Linked DNA regions of Arabidopsis thaliana. The protein of the gene in region 1 interacts with the protein of each later gene in a pairwise test. Each region holds a gene or a part of one and is shown on either strand. Other genes may lie near its edges.

Region 1 (8,168 bases):
TGGTTAGACTCCGGAGACGAAGTACTAAAGACGTTGTATTTTGGAGAGTTCAAGAATTATGGTCCTAAAGCTAGAATTTCCAAGAGAGTGACGTGGGAAGGGTTTCATTCGATTGGGTTTGAAGAAGCAAATTATTTTAGCGTCGGTAAATTCCTAGATGGAGTTTCTTGGTTGCCCTCTACGGGAGTTCGTTTCACTTCCGGGATTTAGTGAAAAAAAGTAAAGAGAAGAAATGGAGAAGACGTCACTAATGGTTTTAAGTATAAGTTTAAGATTAAGATACAAATTTAGAGTTTTTACACCAAAAAAAAAGATACAATTTAGAGTTAACCATCGAATGTAAATTCAATTTGGTATGGTCATGAATATATTTGAAACTTAAATGTAAGACTTTCTTCTTTTTCTTTTGGTCAAACAAATGAAAGAGCATACCAAATTGTTAGTGATAATTGTTTATGATATTTTATATGAATACTAGATAAGGCCGCCTATTTAGGCGGTTGTAAGATACAAAAATAAATTTTTATCGATAATATTTGAATATTGTATAGCAATTTATATATTTTTCTTGATATTTAATTTAATAATTATTGGTGTAAACAAAATTTCAGTCTTATACATTTTATTTTAATTTTATATACACTCAATCTTATCAATGATATTTGAATTCTAGAAAGTAACCGACCATTATTCTATATTTAATTTAGTATCTAGAAAAAAAAAAAAAAAAAAAATTTCTATCTTACACCATTCAATTTTGTAATACAGTTTAACTATATATGTCATCATAATAAACTCGATTTAAATTCTACAACTTCATATTGAGTTTCATATCAAAATAATATTTATGACATATCAAATCTATATCCTAATTAGTATTAAAAATAATTAACAATTAACAAAACATAATTAATAGGCCTACGCATAATACCCAAACCCGAAGAACCGACCCGAAAAACCCGATCCGAACCCGGACCCAAAATTTTCAAATACCCGAACGGGTCTAAACTTCAAAACCCGAAAAACCCGAACCCAAACCCGAATAGGTATCCAAACATATCTCAAATATAAGTATATATTAGTTATATTTATACTTATATATATAAAATATTAGGATGTTTTGGATATTTTAGTTATTTTTGTGTATTTTTAGATATATTCAAGCAAAACTATTCGTGTTGTTTTGGGAATTTTTAAAATTTTCAAGTAATTTAATAGATTTGCAGACAAAATTTGATATTTCAATAGATAAATAAACTGGAATCCGAACCGAACCCGACCCGAAATCTTAAATTACCCGAACGGGTCCTAAACTTCTAAGTCCCAAAACCCGAACCCAAAATACTCGACCCGAATACCCAAACGCCTAGGGCTAATAATTAATAAAAAAACAGAAATCCACAAAAATATTTAGAAACCAAACATTATTGAATATTGTTTTTTATATATGCCGTAATCTCGTAAGTTAATTTTACATCATGCAAATTAATATTAAATGAGTTAAAATTAATAAATAAAAATATTCTCGTTAAAAATAATTGAAAAGTTAAATCCTATAAGCTAAGTTATTTTTCTCAAAATGTTCTATTTTCACTTATGATTACATTAGTTAAAGACAAATTTGTTAATTTTCCTTTTGTTGAATAAATGTTAATTGTTTATAAATATATAGATATATAAATTAGTATATGTATATTTGTTTACTTTTTAAGATTTTCTATTTTTTAAAAAGAATAAAAAAATAAATTTTGAATGAAATATGTAAACATCTGATCGTTTGACTTGACACGTTGCACGATCCTATGAGTTAGTAACTTTGAAAACCATACTTTATATAATAAGATACTACATTAGTAAATATTTGACTTGACAACGTAAGGACTAAAAATAATAATTTAAAACTTTATAATTAATAAAGCAATAAGGTTTATATTTCGGTGGTAAAGCAATTGATTGCAGATCAATAAGTCACCGTTTTAAATCCGATTAAATCTTATAATTTTTACAGTTTATCAACAATTTTTTATTAGAGCTTTATTTATACATTTGATTAGCTTTTAGCAACTAGTAGCTAACTAATCTTATATTTCAAGGTTCTAGCTCGCAATATTTCATTTTTAATAAAACATCTTTGACAAGTTTTTGTATATAATTCTTTAGCAAGTGAATATGTTTTTCTTTATAATTTCAAGGTTTAATTTGTTTGTGAAAATTGTTTTTGATAATTTATATGATTACTAAATAAGTAAACAATTGACTTGCTTATATTAGATTTCTTAGCAAAAAAACAATTAATGAAATAAACAATTTATGATTTTGAACTTATTAAAGCAATAAAGGTCCATAGCTCAGTGGTAGAGCAATTGACTGCAGATCAATAGGTCACCGGTTCGAACCCGATTGGGCCCTATATTTTTTCAGTTTACCAATATTTTTTTATAAGAGCTTTAGTTATATATTTGATTAGCATTTAGCGTCAAGTAGTTGGCTAATCTTATATTTCAAGGTTTTAGCTAGCAATTTTTCATCCTGAATAAAACAAATTTTGACCAGTTTTTATATATAATTCTTTAGCAACTGAATTTTTTTTTTAAAAAAAAATTCATGGTTTAATTTGTTTGTGAATATTTTTTTTAAAATAATTTATGTGATTTCTAAATAAGTAAACAATTGACTTAAATATATTAGATTTCTTAGCAAGAAAAAATTGATGAAATAAATAATTTATAATTTTGAACTTATTAAATCAATAAAGGTCCATAGCTCAGTGGTAGAGCAATTGACTGCAGATCAATAGGTCACCGGTTTGAACCTGGTTGGGCCCTATATTTTTTCAATTTACCAATAATTTTTTAGAAGAGCTTTAGTTATATATTTGATTAGCATTTAGCATCAAGTAGTTGACTAATCTTATATTTCAACGTTTTAGCTAGCAATTTTTCATCTTGAATAAAACAAATTTTGATCAGTTTTTGTATATAATTCTTTAGTAACTGAATTTTTTTTAAAAAAAATTCATGGTTTAATTTGTTTGTGAATTTTGTTTTTTAAATAATTTATGTGATTTCTAAATAAGTAAACAATTGACTTAACTATATTAGATTTCTTAGCAAAAAAAAATTGATGAAATAAATAATTTACAATTTTGAACTTATTAAATCAATAAGGGTCCATAGCTCAGTGATAGAGCAATTGACTGCAGATCAATAGGTCACCGGTTCGAACCCGGTTGGGCCCTATATGTTTTCAGTTTACCAATAATTTTTTATAAGAGTTTTAGTTATATATTTGATTAGCATTTAGCGTCAAGTAGTTCACTAATCTTATATTTCAAGGTTTTAGCTAGCAATTTTTCATCTTGAATAAAACAAATTTTGACCTGTTTTTGCATATAATTCTTTAACAACTGAAATTTTTTTAAAAAACTTTCATGGTTTAATTTGTTTGTGAATTTTTTTTTATAAATAATTTATGTGATTTCTAAATAAGTAAACAATTGACTTAACTATATTAGATTTCTTAGCAAAAAATAATTCATGAAATACATAGTTTATAATTTTGAACTTATTAAATCAATAAGGGTTCATAGCTCAGTGGTAGAGCAATTGACTGCAGATCAATAGGTCACCGGTTCGAACCCGGTTGGGCCCTATATGTTTTAGTTTACCAAAAAAAATTAAATATCATCTTGAATAAAGAAAATTGACAAATTTTGTGATATTTGTAATATTTTATTTTTGTTATAATAAGTGATTACTACATTGTTGGAATTGTGGTGGTTCTCGGCGGTCAAACACCTAGGTACCATTTGGTTGACATTCAAACACCTAGGTATCACTCGGCGGTCAAACACCTATTGTTTTTACAAAACGTTAATTTAGTGTTTTAAAAATATATAATTTTAAGTAAAAATAATTTAAAATAAAAAAATAATTTTGAGAATCCATAATTCGATCAACTTTGATAATATCTAACATTTATAATTTCATGCATTTAACTGAAAATTTAAAATTACTATGGTACTTAATTAATAATAAAAATGAGGAGGATTTTGTTGTTGTTTTTGAGTATTTTATAGAATAAGAATTTGGGCTTTAATAGCCTTTAAAGCCCAATATGATCAAGGCCGAGGAAAAGCTGACCCAAACGTAATCGAGACTTGTTGAAGAAGCCTTTGCCCTCATCGTCGTCTTGTATAATAATTTTGGTTGTGGCGCTTCTTTCAATTTGTTTTCAGTTTCGCCATTTCCCTCCACTCTCAAGCTCTCTTTTGCTTCTCTCGCTTTCTCTGGTGACCCGAATCTGCTCTGATTGAGAGAAATGACGACGATGGAGCAGCGTAGAAACCAGAATGCTGTCCAACAACAAGACGATGAAGAAACCCAGCACGGACCTTTCCCTGTCGAACAGCTTCAGGTTCAATTTCTGCAGATTTCTTTCATTTGTTGTGGAAATTTACCTTCGCAGTCTATACGCTTCATCAGATCTTGCGCTAATTGAAATGGGTTCGGCTTTAATTCACTAAAAATTTCTGCTTTTTTTGTACATCGCGATGTGAAATAGGTGTGAATCTGGGCGAGAATTGAGTTTCGCTACTGTCTGTTAGGCGAATTGGTTTTAGGGGTTCGTTTAATTCAGAAAAAAATCGACACTTTTTGGGGGTTTTATCCTTTTCTGGGGAACTTCTCTATTGCTGTGACTCCAGTGTCATATAATCTCTATAGTTCTTCTCAATTCGTGTTCATAAAAGGGAGATGCATCAGTGTGTTTTGTGTTATGATTATATGCTATTTCATCTCTTTAAATCTTCAAAACTTCAGGCAGCAGGTATTGCTTCTGTTGATGTAAAGAAGCTTAGGGATGCTGGTCTCTGTACTGTTGAAGGTGTTGCTTATACTCCGAGGAAGGATCTCTTGCAGATTAAAGGAATTAGTGATGCCAAGGTTGACAAGATTGTAGAAGCAGGTATTACACATGTAGAAACTTTTTGCTTTCCTTCTCTGTTAAATACATAACACCTCTTTGATACTCTTAGAGTTAATGTGTGTTCTTATTTGTGTTTTCTTCTGTGATAGCTTCAAAGCTAGTTCCTCTGGGGTTCACTAGTGCGAGCCAGCTCCATGCTCAGAGACAGGAAATTATTCAGATTACCTCTGGATCACGGGAGCTCGATAAAGTTCTAGAAGGTTGGTGCTGGTTTCTGGTGCATCTTATAACGGCATTTTGTTATTGTGATCTTACTTTGCCGTATGCTCAACAGGAGGTATTGAAACTGGTTCCATCACAGAGTTATATGGTGAGTTCCGCTCTGGAAAGACTCAGCTGTGCCATACACTGTGTGTGACTTGTCAAGTAAGAACCCTGTTCCTATACCACTCAGTTATTGTTGCTTATCTAGCAGAAATCAGTGATCTTGTCTTTCTTCTTACAATTTCCAAACCTGAGAAAGATATTCACATTAAGGTTCACGTTTGAATGATTAGCTTCCCATGGATCAAGGAGGTGGAGAGGGAAAGGCCATGTACATTGATGCTGAGGGAACATTCAGGCCACAAAGACTCTTACAGATAGCTGACAGGTATGTTATTCTTGTAACACACATGAGATCACAATAGCGTTCTTGAGACGGAATCATCTGTAAGAAATCAAATGAAATGATGCAGGTTTGGATTAAATGGAGCTGATGTACTAGAAAACGTTGCCTATGCGAGGGCGTATAATACAGATCATCAGTCAAGGCTTTTGCTTGAAGCAGCATCAATGATGATTGAAACAAGGTGTGTTGAGTTTATTTTGGTGTTCAGTTCCGTTATGTCTATCATGAGAGTGCTAACTTTTAAAGTTACGATGACCCTATTGGCACAGGTTTGCTCTCCTGATTGTCGATAGTGCTACCGCTCTCTACAGAACAGATTTCTCTGGAAGGGGAGAGCTTTCGGCTCGACAAATGCATCTTGCAAAGTTCTTGAGAAGTCTTCAGAAGTTAGCAGATGAGGTGAACATTCAGTACTAACTGTTTCTTTTCCAATATTGCTCTGAGACACCATCCTGAAGTATTCTCTCTTATGTTTAATGGCTCTAGTTTGGTGTGGCTGTTGTTATAACAAACCAAGTAGTTGCGCAAGTAGATGGTTCAGCTCTTTTTGCTGGTCCCCAATTTAAGCCGATTGGTGGGAATATCATGGCTCATGCCACCACAACAAGGTCTGTAATGTTTGCAAATTCGACAAATCCATGTTTCTTAGTGTTTTTTGTTAGGGTTCGTTAGGAAAGTGTGTTTGTTATGATAATTGATACAGGTTGGCGTTGAGGAAAGGAAGAGCAGAGGAGAGAATCTGTAAAGTGATAAGCTCGCCATGTTTGCCAGAAGCGGAAGCTCGATTTCAAATATCTACAGAAGGTGTAACAGATTGCAAGGATTGATGTTTTTGGCCACAACAATGCCTTGCTTCTCTCTGCCTTATGTGCTTTTTTTTAGCAACCCCTTCACTTGTATTGATGTCAAAAAACCGTTTTCTTTTGTTTTTGTTTTTAACTGTTGATCATAGTGTAAGCGTACAAGTAAGTGATGATGGAGCAAAAGAGCTTTGTAAGTAAAGTTTTTCGGGTAATGAACCTTTTGTGTTTCACAAACGCACACAGCCTCGTGGTTTATACAACACTACTAAATTTTAACCCACGGTATACCGCGGAGACAATTTATTTTTTAAAGTTACTATATATAAAAGTTTGCAAATTATATTTATCGTAAAAATATTTTTATTTTATAGTTTACGATTGTTATTAAGTAACGTCCCGCCAATCCGTCCCGTAAAAAAAACTCACTGATTTTATTTATGATATGTTTATGAATCATTGTCTAAATATTTTTTAATTTTGTAGTAATTAAATGCTATCTAATATCTCTGCGGTTTGATGATTATAATCGAATTATTATAGTCATGTAGAAAAACAATATCAAAATGATAATTTTGTAGTAATTAAATGATATTAAATATTTCGGAAGTTTTATTTTAATAACTAATCGTGTAGTTAATGTGAAGAGATTTTGGGAAGATTGTCAAATATTTAATTCAAAGATTTTCTTTCTAATTATCAAAAACAATTATTAAATGCCAGTGGCAGCCACTGTAAATAAATTCCAACTCTAGGATTTATTTCACAAAGTGGCTGCAAAAATGTATATATAGATATATTACTTAGTGAACAATCAAATATTAACTAACCATTACTTACAATTAGAATGTCTTATGGTTTATCATGTTTTTTATATACTAATAGGCATTTAATCACATTTCTTTTTATTTAACAACGAAAAATCCATATTATTACAATTTTAAAACATAAAAGCATCACCATCTCCAATGGTTTAATTAGTAATTGTGATTCACATATTGTGATTCTATAAACTCACAAATTGTGATTCGATAGAAGTCTAATTATTATAATAAAAATTGTCATAAGAACACTAAAATAGTTTATCATGTTTTTGTCATACTTTCTCAGATAATTTTCATTTTTTCTGTTGTTGACATCACCATCTCCAATATTCAAAACATGATTTGTTTGTACCTTTTTAGTATTAACAAAACTTTTGTTAGAATGACTCATCCTCTACATATATAAAAAAAAATCATTAGTATTTTTGTATCAAGTCTACAAATGATTTTCATTTACTTTATTCTTTTTTTTTACCAAACACATTTAGTTCTATATACTATTTATTCTTATTAACTAAAGTTACTCAGAATTATAGGTGTAACTGGAAAACTGGATAAAGAGAGAAAGAGAGAGAGTACATAACATAAGTCCTCGAAAGTGCAGCTATTCCATTAGCGGCCAGACAGCTGTTAGTATATATTGCTTCGTCACGGGCTCTTTTTTTTTCTTTTTAATTTAAAGATCCCTTAAAAAAATCTTTTTTGTTTTAAAGAAGAGAGAAATTGTGGTTTTGTTGCGTCGTCGTCGTCGTCTCTCTCTCTCTCTCTTCCCCGATCCAATCTTCTCCTTTGTCTCTCGACACAAACAAAGGAAACAGCTGAGAAAACTATTATCATCATCATCATCTCTCTCTATATCATAAACCCTTCTTTTTCTCTCTATCCTCTTCTTCTTCTTCCTCATATATACTTGTCTTCTTTTTTCAAATTTTACCAATTCGTAATCTC
Region 2 (9,358 bases), on another chromosome or scaffold:
GATTTGAAATATTTGGTTACTCTTTTGTGTGTGTCACTGTGTTCTTTGTGTTTGTTCGTCGCAATCATCATTTGCTTTTTCAAGAATCTGGTTGATGAAATATCCAAAGTTTGAATGCACTGTCTTTTGATGCAGAACACGTTGTTACTAAGGGCTATACCGGGGTTGAACGAATTCGGCAAAGCTCTTTTAGGTGTGGCTCTTTCTAGTTACTTGGCACAAAGAGAGATTTTGAAACAGATTATGTGATTTAACGACTTTGGGGATGTTGCAGGGTCAATGACGGAGCAGATTATGCTTCTTGAGAACATTGGGACTTCTGTTCTTGTTTCCAAGAATCAGGTTAGTTGTGGATCAGTGTCTTTGTGGACATTATGTATTTGTCTATCAATAGTGATGTGTAATGTTTCTTTTATTTGCTGTCTCAGCTCTCTGATCTTCACGGTTTGTTGGTTGAGGCTGCTGAGATTTTGAATATAGAGGCTCCTGATCTATATGTGCGACAGAGTCCTGTTCCTAATGCGTATACGCTGGCAATAAGCGGTAAGAAGCCGTTTATTGTTGTCCACACCAGCTTGATCGAGCTTCTTACTAGCGCGGAGCTACAGGTAAGATATTTTTTTCTGCATTACAAGTTCAATGCTTTTTGATTGAACCCACTTTTGAACCTAACCATAGATACTACATATTGGCTAATTTTACCAAAATCTGACAGTTTTATACCTCAAAACTAGGCTGTCTTAGCCCATGAACTAGGCCATCTGAAGTGTGATCACGGCGTGTGGCTCACATTTGCAAATATTCTTACTCTTGGGGCTTATACAGTTCCTGGTAGATACCACACTCTTCTACATGTCCAAGTCACTTGTATCTACTGTTCTGTGTCAGTCTGACAAAATTATAGTGACTTCATCCCGGAAATCTATTTATCGACTCACATAAGTTTCAGTTTGCAGCCGGCGTGAAACTCTGTTATTGTTACTAAACTGGATTCTGTTGTTTGTAGCTTTTGGGCAAATGATAGCTCGAACCTTGGAAGAACAGTTACTTCGTTGGCTACGTTCAGCAGAGCTGACTTGTGATCGCGCAGCACTACTCGTCGCCCAAGATCCAAAGGTACCAATTCTAAAAAACAAGAAGAAATCAAACAGAATGCGAAAATACCTAGTGATGTTTATGTTATTGTTCTTATAATCTCTCTTATGTCGCTTCCAAGAGGTTGTTGTATCTGTTCTGATGAAATTAGCCGGAGGATGTCCATCAATCGCTGATCAGCTAAATGTTGACGCATTTCTAGAACAAGCCCGTTCATATGACAAAGCTTCTTCAAGCCCCTTGGGATGGTACATAAGGTGAGAAAATTAAAACTATACAAAATTTAGATTATTCTTCCTTCAGATTCACTTCTTTGTTTGTTTACATATTTTCCTTTTCTACAGAAATGCTCAGACTAGTCAACTTTCGCATCCATTGCCGGTTCTTCGTGCACGTGAGATTGATGAGTGGTCCAGGAGTCTCGAGTACAAAAGTCTCCTGAAACGGGCAAATCGAAAAAGCACAGTACAGAAGGTTTAGTGACGTTGTTAAAGATTTAAAAGGAAGGAAGCGAAATAAACATGTATAGGTAAGTTTCATATAAGCACACATTTGTATATGAACCTGAGTTTTTACTTTTGTGGGTCGTTTTAAGGTTTGTCTTGAATTCTTGGACAGGAACAATACAGAAGGAGCAAAGAAGAAATGAGAGATTGGACTCTAGGTCTAAATAGGTACTGTAAAACTCTTGTATTTATTTAGTGGCATACTGGCATTGTTGTATATCTTATAACTGTAATAGATAAATTCAAATGTATATTCCGGAAAACAAAAGGGCCTTAGCTCAAAGATAATATATGATAAAGATTGTTTGTATAACTCACCTGTCTCAGTCTTAGAGGCTTAAACTACCAAACTGATTGTTCCAATTTTCATAGATTCCAAGTTCGTTCTGAGAAACAGAAGGCCTTACTTCTTGCAATGCGTCTTTAAAGTCCTGCATAATGACCAAATATATGAAACAATGACAGAAACAAAAAGAATTCGTTTAGCTTTACATGTTTGTATTCACAGAGTTCGCATATCATCAATTTAAGTTTGACCCGAAACATGATGATACCACAAAAAATCTTCATTTTGATTTTATGTACCTGAAGAGTTACTAGACGCATGTCATCTTTAGTCAGGTTAGTTATATCTATGCCTCGTTTGAGAGCTTCTCTTAATGGACCCATAGTTGCATCTTTCACCAGGTTCTTCATATCTGATCCCGAGTACCCTGCAGTGAAATTTAATGAAAAGCTAGCTTGGTTATGGCCGCAAATGTGTATTTGCATTTTTGGGTTGTGTTCTTTGGACTTTAAAGATCAAAAATCCAGAGATTTATTGTGTTTCTGAAGTTCCTATGATGAATTTACCTTCCGTTAGGTTGCATATGATGTTCATATCATCATCCGACAGAGTAAACAACCCATCTTTCTTTAGGAGATTCTGTATTATCCATGCTCTTGCTTCTTCAATTCGAAAACAGAGAATCGTGTCAAGAGAGTATATTAGACGAAAACCAGAGAATGACATGAAAAAGTTTGTTTATCATTCTTTACCAGATGAAGGAAGAGGAATGTAGAGTCTCTTGGTTAGTCGTCTTCTTGCTGCTTCATCGAGCTCTTGCGGTCTATTTGTTGCTCCTAACAAACAAAAAAAATTAGCAGAATAAAGTTACTAAACCCCATATAACCCACAAAACTCAAACCTTACTGTTCCCAGTTTTTTACCTATTAGGAGAATTTGCTCGCTGCCACTGTCGAAACCTTCCATTTCAATCAGGAATTGTGTCTTGAGTCTTCTACTCGATTCATGTTCACCATCTGACTTACGCTGTGGCAAAGGGTGAAAGTTCGTTTCTTTAATAGAATGTTACATAAGGAAACCAATACATGCCAGAAAATTGTCTTTACTGAACCACCCTTTGTAATTTTTTCCAGCCCTTGTTCTACGCTGATAGGTTTGAGGGTTTATGAACATGTAATATTTTGAGAGATTACAACAAACCTGAGATAGTAGAGAATCTATTTCATCGACAAATATTACTGCAGGCTGGCGGCAACTCGCAACTCCAAAAAGGGCCCTCACTAGCTTTTCACCTTCGCCAATCTGCATTTACATTTGTGATCGTTAAATTTGCAGGTGACCGTAAAGCAAATGAATAAGCATGCTATAGACATCTTGAGCAGGAACAAAATCACTGACATACAGAAAATGGTACGGGTTTCCCTGCTATGTAGAAGTTCTGACATAGTGGAACATAATTACTGTCGTAATTTTACGAATATCCATGTGAAAGTAAGCAAAGAAGTGGAACTAACCCACTTGCTTGTCAATGAACTGGCTGATATATAGAAAAAGGTTGCTTTCGCTTCTCCAGCTATAGCTTTTCCAATCATTGTTTTACCAGTTCCCTGGTATGCAGTAGATACAGATCTAAGAAAAAACAGACACGAGTGTCATTTCATCTTAAATATCAAAATGGACAAGGGTACCTACTGGTGGGCCAAAGAGAAGAAGTCCTTTTCCAGGTGAACGACAACCTTTGAAAATGTCAGGACGCAACAATGGCCAAATGACCATCTCAGTTACACACTTTTTAGCATGCTCCAGACCAGCTGCACATCAATAACTTATGATGAGAAACTCCAGGTGCAACAGGGATAATAATATACACTGCACTGAAACATCTTACTGTACCAATATCATCCCAGCGGACATTGGGGTCTCGATCCATAATCTCGTTGCTGACATGCTCTATAAGACGAGGTTCCAAATTTCTCAACTTCTCGGGAAGCTCACCATCAGGACCACAGAGCATCTCCAAACTAGAACAGGATAGTAAGTAAATGGGCATGCATGTTATCTCATAATATAAAATTAATCTTTTCAGGCTTACAGGCGTAGAAGGCTACTGGATAATTAGAAACTTATGTGAAGTAGCATTCTAAATAAGAACGAGGGCCTAACTGGCTAACCACCAGATGAGTGTAGACGCTTAAATTGCTAGTCCTATTGACATGCATATACTATTTTTTATTTACTTTTCATAGTGTTTCAATGTGAAATAAATTCAAAAAATGTTTAATATAGAAACTTAGTTAGAGAAGGGCAGAGACAGGCATAGCCTATCTAGGTGAAAATCAAGAAATATTGACAAGAAAAACAGATTACATAAGCTTATTTATTGTCGAAGGTGAGGATATAAAAAGGGTGCATGTGCTTTCCAGTTTGCTAAGGATCTTGAATCAAAATAAGAAATTACGCAACTAACCATGTTCTGGTTGAGTCATCCAGTGCATCGTCAGTCTTTCCACCAATACGAGACGTCAAGTTTCCAACATTATTCCCATTAGTTTTAACAGGAGGGACAAAATTACTACGGTATCCACGTCTTAATCCACCCGACCTTGAACCATAGCCCCTACCTAAAGCATTTTTGTCACTCTGTGGAGAAAGACATGAACTTGGTGACTCAGTTGATCCTCGTTTTTGTCTTACATCCATTTCCTAAAGCAACAGATATAGTAGTCAACATTAGCAAAGGGTAATAAAGCACAGTTCGAAAGAAAAGACTCTGCAAAGTCAAGATGACTCTAAGAGAAGTAATTGTCATGAATAAATCTACCAGTTTTATTTTGGCGGATACAAATCCATTAGGAGCTCCATCTTCCTTTACTTCCCCATCATTTGCAAGGCTACTGGTTTCTGCATGAGGTCGCTTTGTTCCAAAACCAAATCCATGACTTCTCTCAACAATGACACATTCATCAGAGGCACGGTCTTGATTGTTCACTGAAGTTTTGCGCTGATTATCTGGTTTACCAATACTGTTTCCATACAATGATGTCAGTTTGGCTTGCATCATTGACTTTGGTGCTTTGGGAATCAACTTATCCGTATCATGCCGTTCTTCCTGAAACAAGAAAACATCTATGAAATCATAGTAGAAACAGGAAGCAAGACATATAACATGGCTGTGTTTCCAAAACTCATCACCAATACTAAGATCATTGAAGAAATGAAGCAGTTTACAAGAGCATTACCATCTCTTTAACACCCTTTCCGTTAGATTGACTGACATGAAAACCAAAGTACTTAGACTGCTTAATCTTTTCCACATCAAATCCACCTTTGCTGCCAAAAATTGCCCCTGGAGCTGTATTTGCAAGCTCAAACGCCTTCCTGGATACAACAAGAAGCACACCATAAAAGGGTACTCTAAAAATCTCAAGTGTAGCTAATATTGACGATAATTCAAAAAGATCTTTAGATTTCAGCTAGTAACTAAGTGAACGAAGTCCAAAGATTAGAGAATATCACTCAGTTATACATTTCCCTGATTCCAATACCCAACAATTCAAGCCACACTCATAAGACTCTACTAAGCTAAGCAAGTAAAATTCGAACCCTCTCTTCTTCGAAATTAAACAGGCTCAAAGGGGAAAAGCTCAGGTACCGATCCGAATCTGAAACGAGGCCTTCCAAAGCTAAATCAATCTTAGAGGCAACTTCACGACGAATGGGACCAATGAAATCACGATCGGCGTCAGTGACAGAACGAGAATCGAGGAAACCTAGAAGACGAAGCCCAAGGATCTGAGCAGAAGAGAAATCAGATTTCTCCAGGAATTTGTCGGCGCCGAAGAGCAGCGATTGGAGACGCTTCAAGTTCTCATCCACTTCCTTTCTCCAACACGGCGTCTCCGTTTCTCCTTCCTCCTTCACATTCAGAAACTCCGGTGGTGGTCTCAGTAACGGAGAAGAAAACGGCGACGAACGCTTTCCCGCCATTATCCTCTCTTCCTCTTTCCCCAAATGCCCAAAACCCCAGAAATGAAATTCAAATTCGCGCTCAGAATCTGAAACCACCGACCCACACATTCCTTTACTCTCTCACCAGCTTGACGCGTAGAACGTCATGCAGTGTAATAGTGTAGATAGAAACGGCGTGTAGTTTCCTTAGAAATCAGTTGCTTATCGGGCCCAGTTTCTTCATGGGCAATAGTAAGCCCGTTATTGTCTGTATTTTGGGTTTTACTGTGTTTCGGATATGCTTCCTCTAAACTTTCGTCTTTATTTTTTATATTTTTACATAGAGAATATTAGGCACTTAAAAATCATTAGGCACTTTGACTAATTGCAATTACTTGTTTACCCTCAAATCGTCGGTTATATATAACCAAACAAATCAAACCCATTTTCATTAAACCAATTCCGGTTACGAAACCCACGATTTTGATTTTGCAGTTACCATAATCTCTTGTTTTATTTTTTCCGGAACTGTAAAAAAAAACAAATCCAGAAAAAACCTAAACTACAGTTTCAGAAAAGGTGACTCCGACGACGGGATATCAATCTCCTCCGTTACTGTCTACCACCACTACGGTTTACACTACTTTCTTTCTTCTTCTCTCCACCGTAAAACTCCAATAATCGATTTCGTAATCTCAACCACTTTATACCCTTGTGACTTCGGCGAGGGGATATCAATCTCCTCTTTAATGGATTTGGATTTCGTTACTCTAATTCAACTTCAATTGAGTAGATTTCGAGAAAAAGTTCTTGAATTACTAAGGTAAAGTTATGTGATGTTGGGTTCTATATTCTTTGGTTTATCCAATTTGATATGGCGTCCGCAAATATTCCTCGATTCGAATCTTCGGCGATCATAAATCTTGCACTGAATACTATGGAAGAGAAGCTACCAAGATCGCTCAAGAATCTCGACTTGAATACGAACCTTGTACCAAAGATTAAGATTCTTCTTTCAGCTTATCTATCTTCCTCACGTAAGTCTCACTTTCAACAATTTTTTTTCTCGAGCTGGGCTAAATTTGGTGTTAAGCATGGCTGGTGATATTTAGGAGTTGGAATTTGACAAAGTTTTCTACTAGTTTGCTTCAATCGCTGGAATGTCTCCATTGAAATCGAAACCTCCATCTCTTGTGAGATTATGTTATTAGGAAACATTTAGAGGAAATGATTCCTTGTTTAGCTGAAATCTATGTTATATTTCCATAAAGCGACGTTTATGTGAACAAATTTATGTGGACTTGTTATCATGGATATGTTATGGACAAATTAGTATTTGAAATTGTAATTGACGGTTGTGTAACGGATTGTGTTATGGACTCACCATTCTCGTAACATGATTAAAGATAATGAAACGAGATTGACTATTGATAATTGTGTGTTTATTAAACTTTCGCACCGGTGAAGAGATTAGTCCCTTGAACTTGTGATTGTTTATGTTATATCTTGAGATGTTTGGTATTTAAAATCAAACTTTGACTTGTATTTAAAACTTAAAATCCAATCGAGAAGATCTAGCAGTGTTAAATGAACAGAGCTTTGTGGACAACGATATTTGGACACGTTTCTTTTTACCTTCCTCTCGTACTTTACTTGAACTTGTCTCTAAGTTTGCTGTCAAATTATATGGCTTTTTGAGTATTTAACGTCTCGTCAATGCCAAAGTATTCATATCAAATGAACCATTTCAAGTGTATGATCCAATATAGATTAATTGAACACCAAAAAATTCATTATATGCTTCTATTTCCAATGTTGTGGTATCCATTTTGTATTGTCCATATGAACAATGTACTTTTGCAGGTTCGGTGACCATTTTTGTATGTTGGTTTCCTCTTTTGTACCCAAAATAGTTTCCATCGACTATTAACTCAAAAAACTATTTTTTCAATCTCTTTTTTTCAATAATTTTGGGTTTTGGTTATCCTTATAAATCATAACTATTCTTCAATTTGTAATTGATCCGTACAAGTATAACTATATATGGTCAACACGAAATGGTCGCTTGTGGATGGCTACTTGTAAAGTGTTAGAGTATACTTTGAGACCTGAGATGCACATCAAGAAACTTGGTTACATATCATTGTTACTTAACTGTCTATACACATGTGGATAAATGGTCATAATGGATAATGTACTTTGGATTGACGTTTATTGTTCCTCGTATAAACTTATGTATTAGTATGAAACTACCATGTGAGTTATTAGATGACCATATGGACTAGACTGCTTGGATAGTTTCTTGTTCATGTATAAACTTATGTATTAGTATGAAACTACCATGTGAGTCACTAGATAACCATATGGACTGGACTTCTTGGACATTCATTAATGGACAAGTATGTCTTTGATTTGCTGCGAATGTGTTTATAGCTCGATAAAATTAACACTTTTTTGTTTGCTCATTCAACATTAACATTGGAGTCCAACTCGATCAAATTCTTAGCACCATCATAAAGCTCAATGTTTATACCAGACAAGATCAACATAAGCCACATTGAGTTTAGCTTTGTTCACTCAATTTTTTTTTTGCCGTCTGGTATAATATTAATTGAAAAGTCAAAACAGAGTATAGAGCATACATCCATAAAAAAACAGAGCATGAAAACTCCAAACAATAACCAAAGGTAAAGAAAAAAAAAATCCAAAGGTAAAGAAAAGAAAATTTCACAAAGTCATCATCGCTTGTCTTCTTCAATTCTGGAAAGTAACCATCCAGGGCCTCCTCTAGCTAAATAAGATCTGAAACGACCATCCCTTGTCACACTTATAGCAATGTCCCTTGCTATTGAATTCGCCTTTGAGGATGAAACCTTGAAAATGACTCGAAAAAACCTGGGAATGAGTGAATTAAGTAAAACAAAAGGACTAAATCATAGAAATTCTAATGTCATATATCTAACATCTTCTAAGATGCCTCTCTTTTCTATACGAACTGGCCGCAATGGGATCAACATCACACTGATATCATCAAACGAGCCTCGTGAAGCCGAGAGATCAACAAGCTTCTTACAAGCTGCTAACAACAATGGCTTCTCGGTTCGTAAGCAGAAGGGACGAGCAATGTCTACTGCTTCTTGGTTACTCACCTTATCCCATAAACCATGTGATGCCAAGATTAAGAACTCATGGTCATGCTCAACTCTCGAGATCTTTGTCTCTGGTTCAGCTATAACCCATTTCTTAAGTTGAGCATCTCCGATTCCTCTTGGCACAACTAAGGATCCCTGGATTCTCCACAACGTGAAACATATCAACATATCCTCCCGTGGTTTCAATTCTTTTCCGTTCATCATCTCTAGACGGACAATGATCAGAAAATAAAACTTTAGCTACACCTCCTACACTCATAACAGCACGACAGTCACCGGCGTTTGACACAACAAGGCTCCCTTCGCTAACCAAAGCCGTGACACAGGATGAACCACCCTTAAAACCTTCCTCCTTAAGAAACGTTGTGTCT

The links. Proteins that work in one complex are often made in the same cells at the same time.
Region 2: the proteins of RAD51 (region 1) and AT3G27120 interact in a two-hybrid assay, tested with the Arabidopsis thaliana proteins (one study listed by BioGRID).

Annotation. Positions count from the first base shown.
Region 1 is NC_003076.8:7,069,013-7,077,180, reverse strand, and holds RAD51 (RAS associated with diabetes protein 51), read left to right. Parts: upstream 1-4,214; 5' UTR 4,215-4,320; coding exon 4,321-4,416; intron 4,417-4,820; coding exon 4,821-4,965; intron 4,966-5,075; coding exon 5,076-5,186; intron 5,187-5,260; coding exon 5,261-5,352; intron 5,353-5,483; coding exon 5,484-5,578; intron 5,579-5,663; coding exon 5,664-5,777; intron 5,778-5,865; coding exon 5,866-5,995; intron 5,996-6,082; coding exon 6,083-6,204; coding exon of another isoform or gene 6,205-6,268; exon of another isoform or gene 6,269-6,299; coding exon 6,300-6,423; 3' UTR 6,424-6,690; downstream 6,691-8,168. Other genes in the region: AT5G20860 (Plant invertase/pectin methylesterase inhibitor superfamily), read left to right, coding at 1-210. UniProt on the Arabidopsis thaliana protein: Binds to single and double-stranded DNA and exhibits DNA-dependent ATPase activity. Unwinds duplex DNA. Component of the meiotic recombination pathway.
Region 2 is NC_003074.8:9,998,318-10,007,675, forward strand, and holds AT3G27120 (P-loop containing nucleoside triphosphate hydrolases superfamily protein), read right to left. Parts: upstream 5,990-9,358; 5' UTR 5,965-5,989; coding exon 5,540-5,964; intron 5,266-5,539; coding exon 5,127-5,265; intron 4,997-5,126; coding exon 4,709-4,996; intron 4,591-4,708; coding exon 4,355-4,590; intron 3,909-4,354; coding exon 3,781-3,908; intron 3,699-3,780; coding exon 3,580-3,698; intron 3,495-3,579; coding exon 3,402-3,494; intron 3,190-3,401; coding exon 3,088-3,189; intron 2,914-3,087; coding exon 2,811-2,913; intron 2,724-2,810; coding exon 2,640-2,723; intron 2,550-2,639; coding exon 2,454-2,549; intron 2,315-2,453; coding exon 2,187-2,314; intron 2,033-2,186; coding exon 1,931-2,032; downstream 1-1,930. Other genes in the region: AT3G27110 (Peptidase family M48 family protein), read left to right, coding at 136-193, 275-342, 429-608, 735-831, 1,007-1,116, 1,219-1,352, 1,440-1,575; AT3G27140 (Protein phosphatase 2C family protein), read right to left, coding at 8,574-8,708, 8,799-9,122, 9,223-9,324. UniProt on the Arabidopsis thaliana protein: Involved in DNA double-strand break (DBS) repair via homologous recombination (HR). Limits class II meiotic crossover (CO) formation by regulating the invasion step of meiotic HR.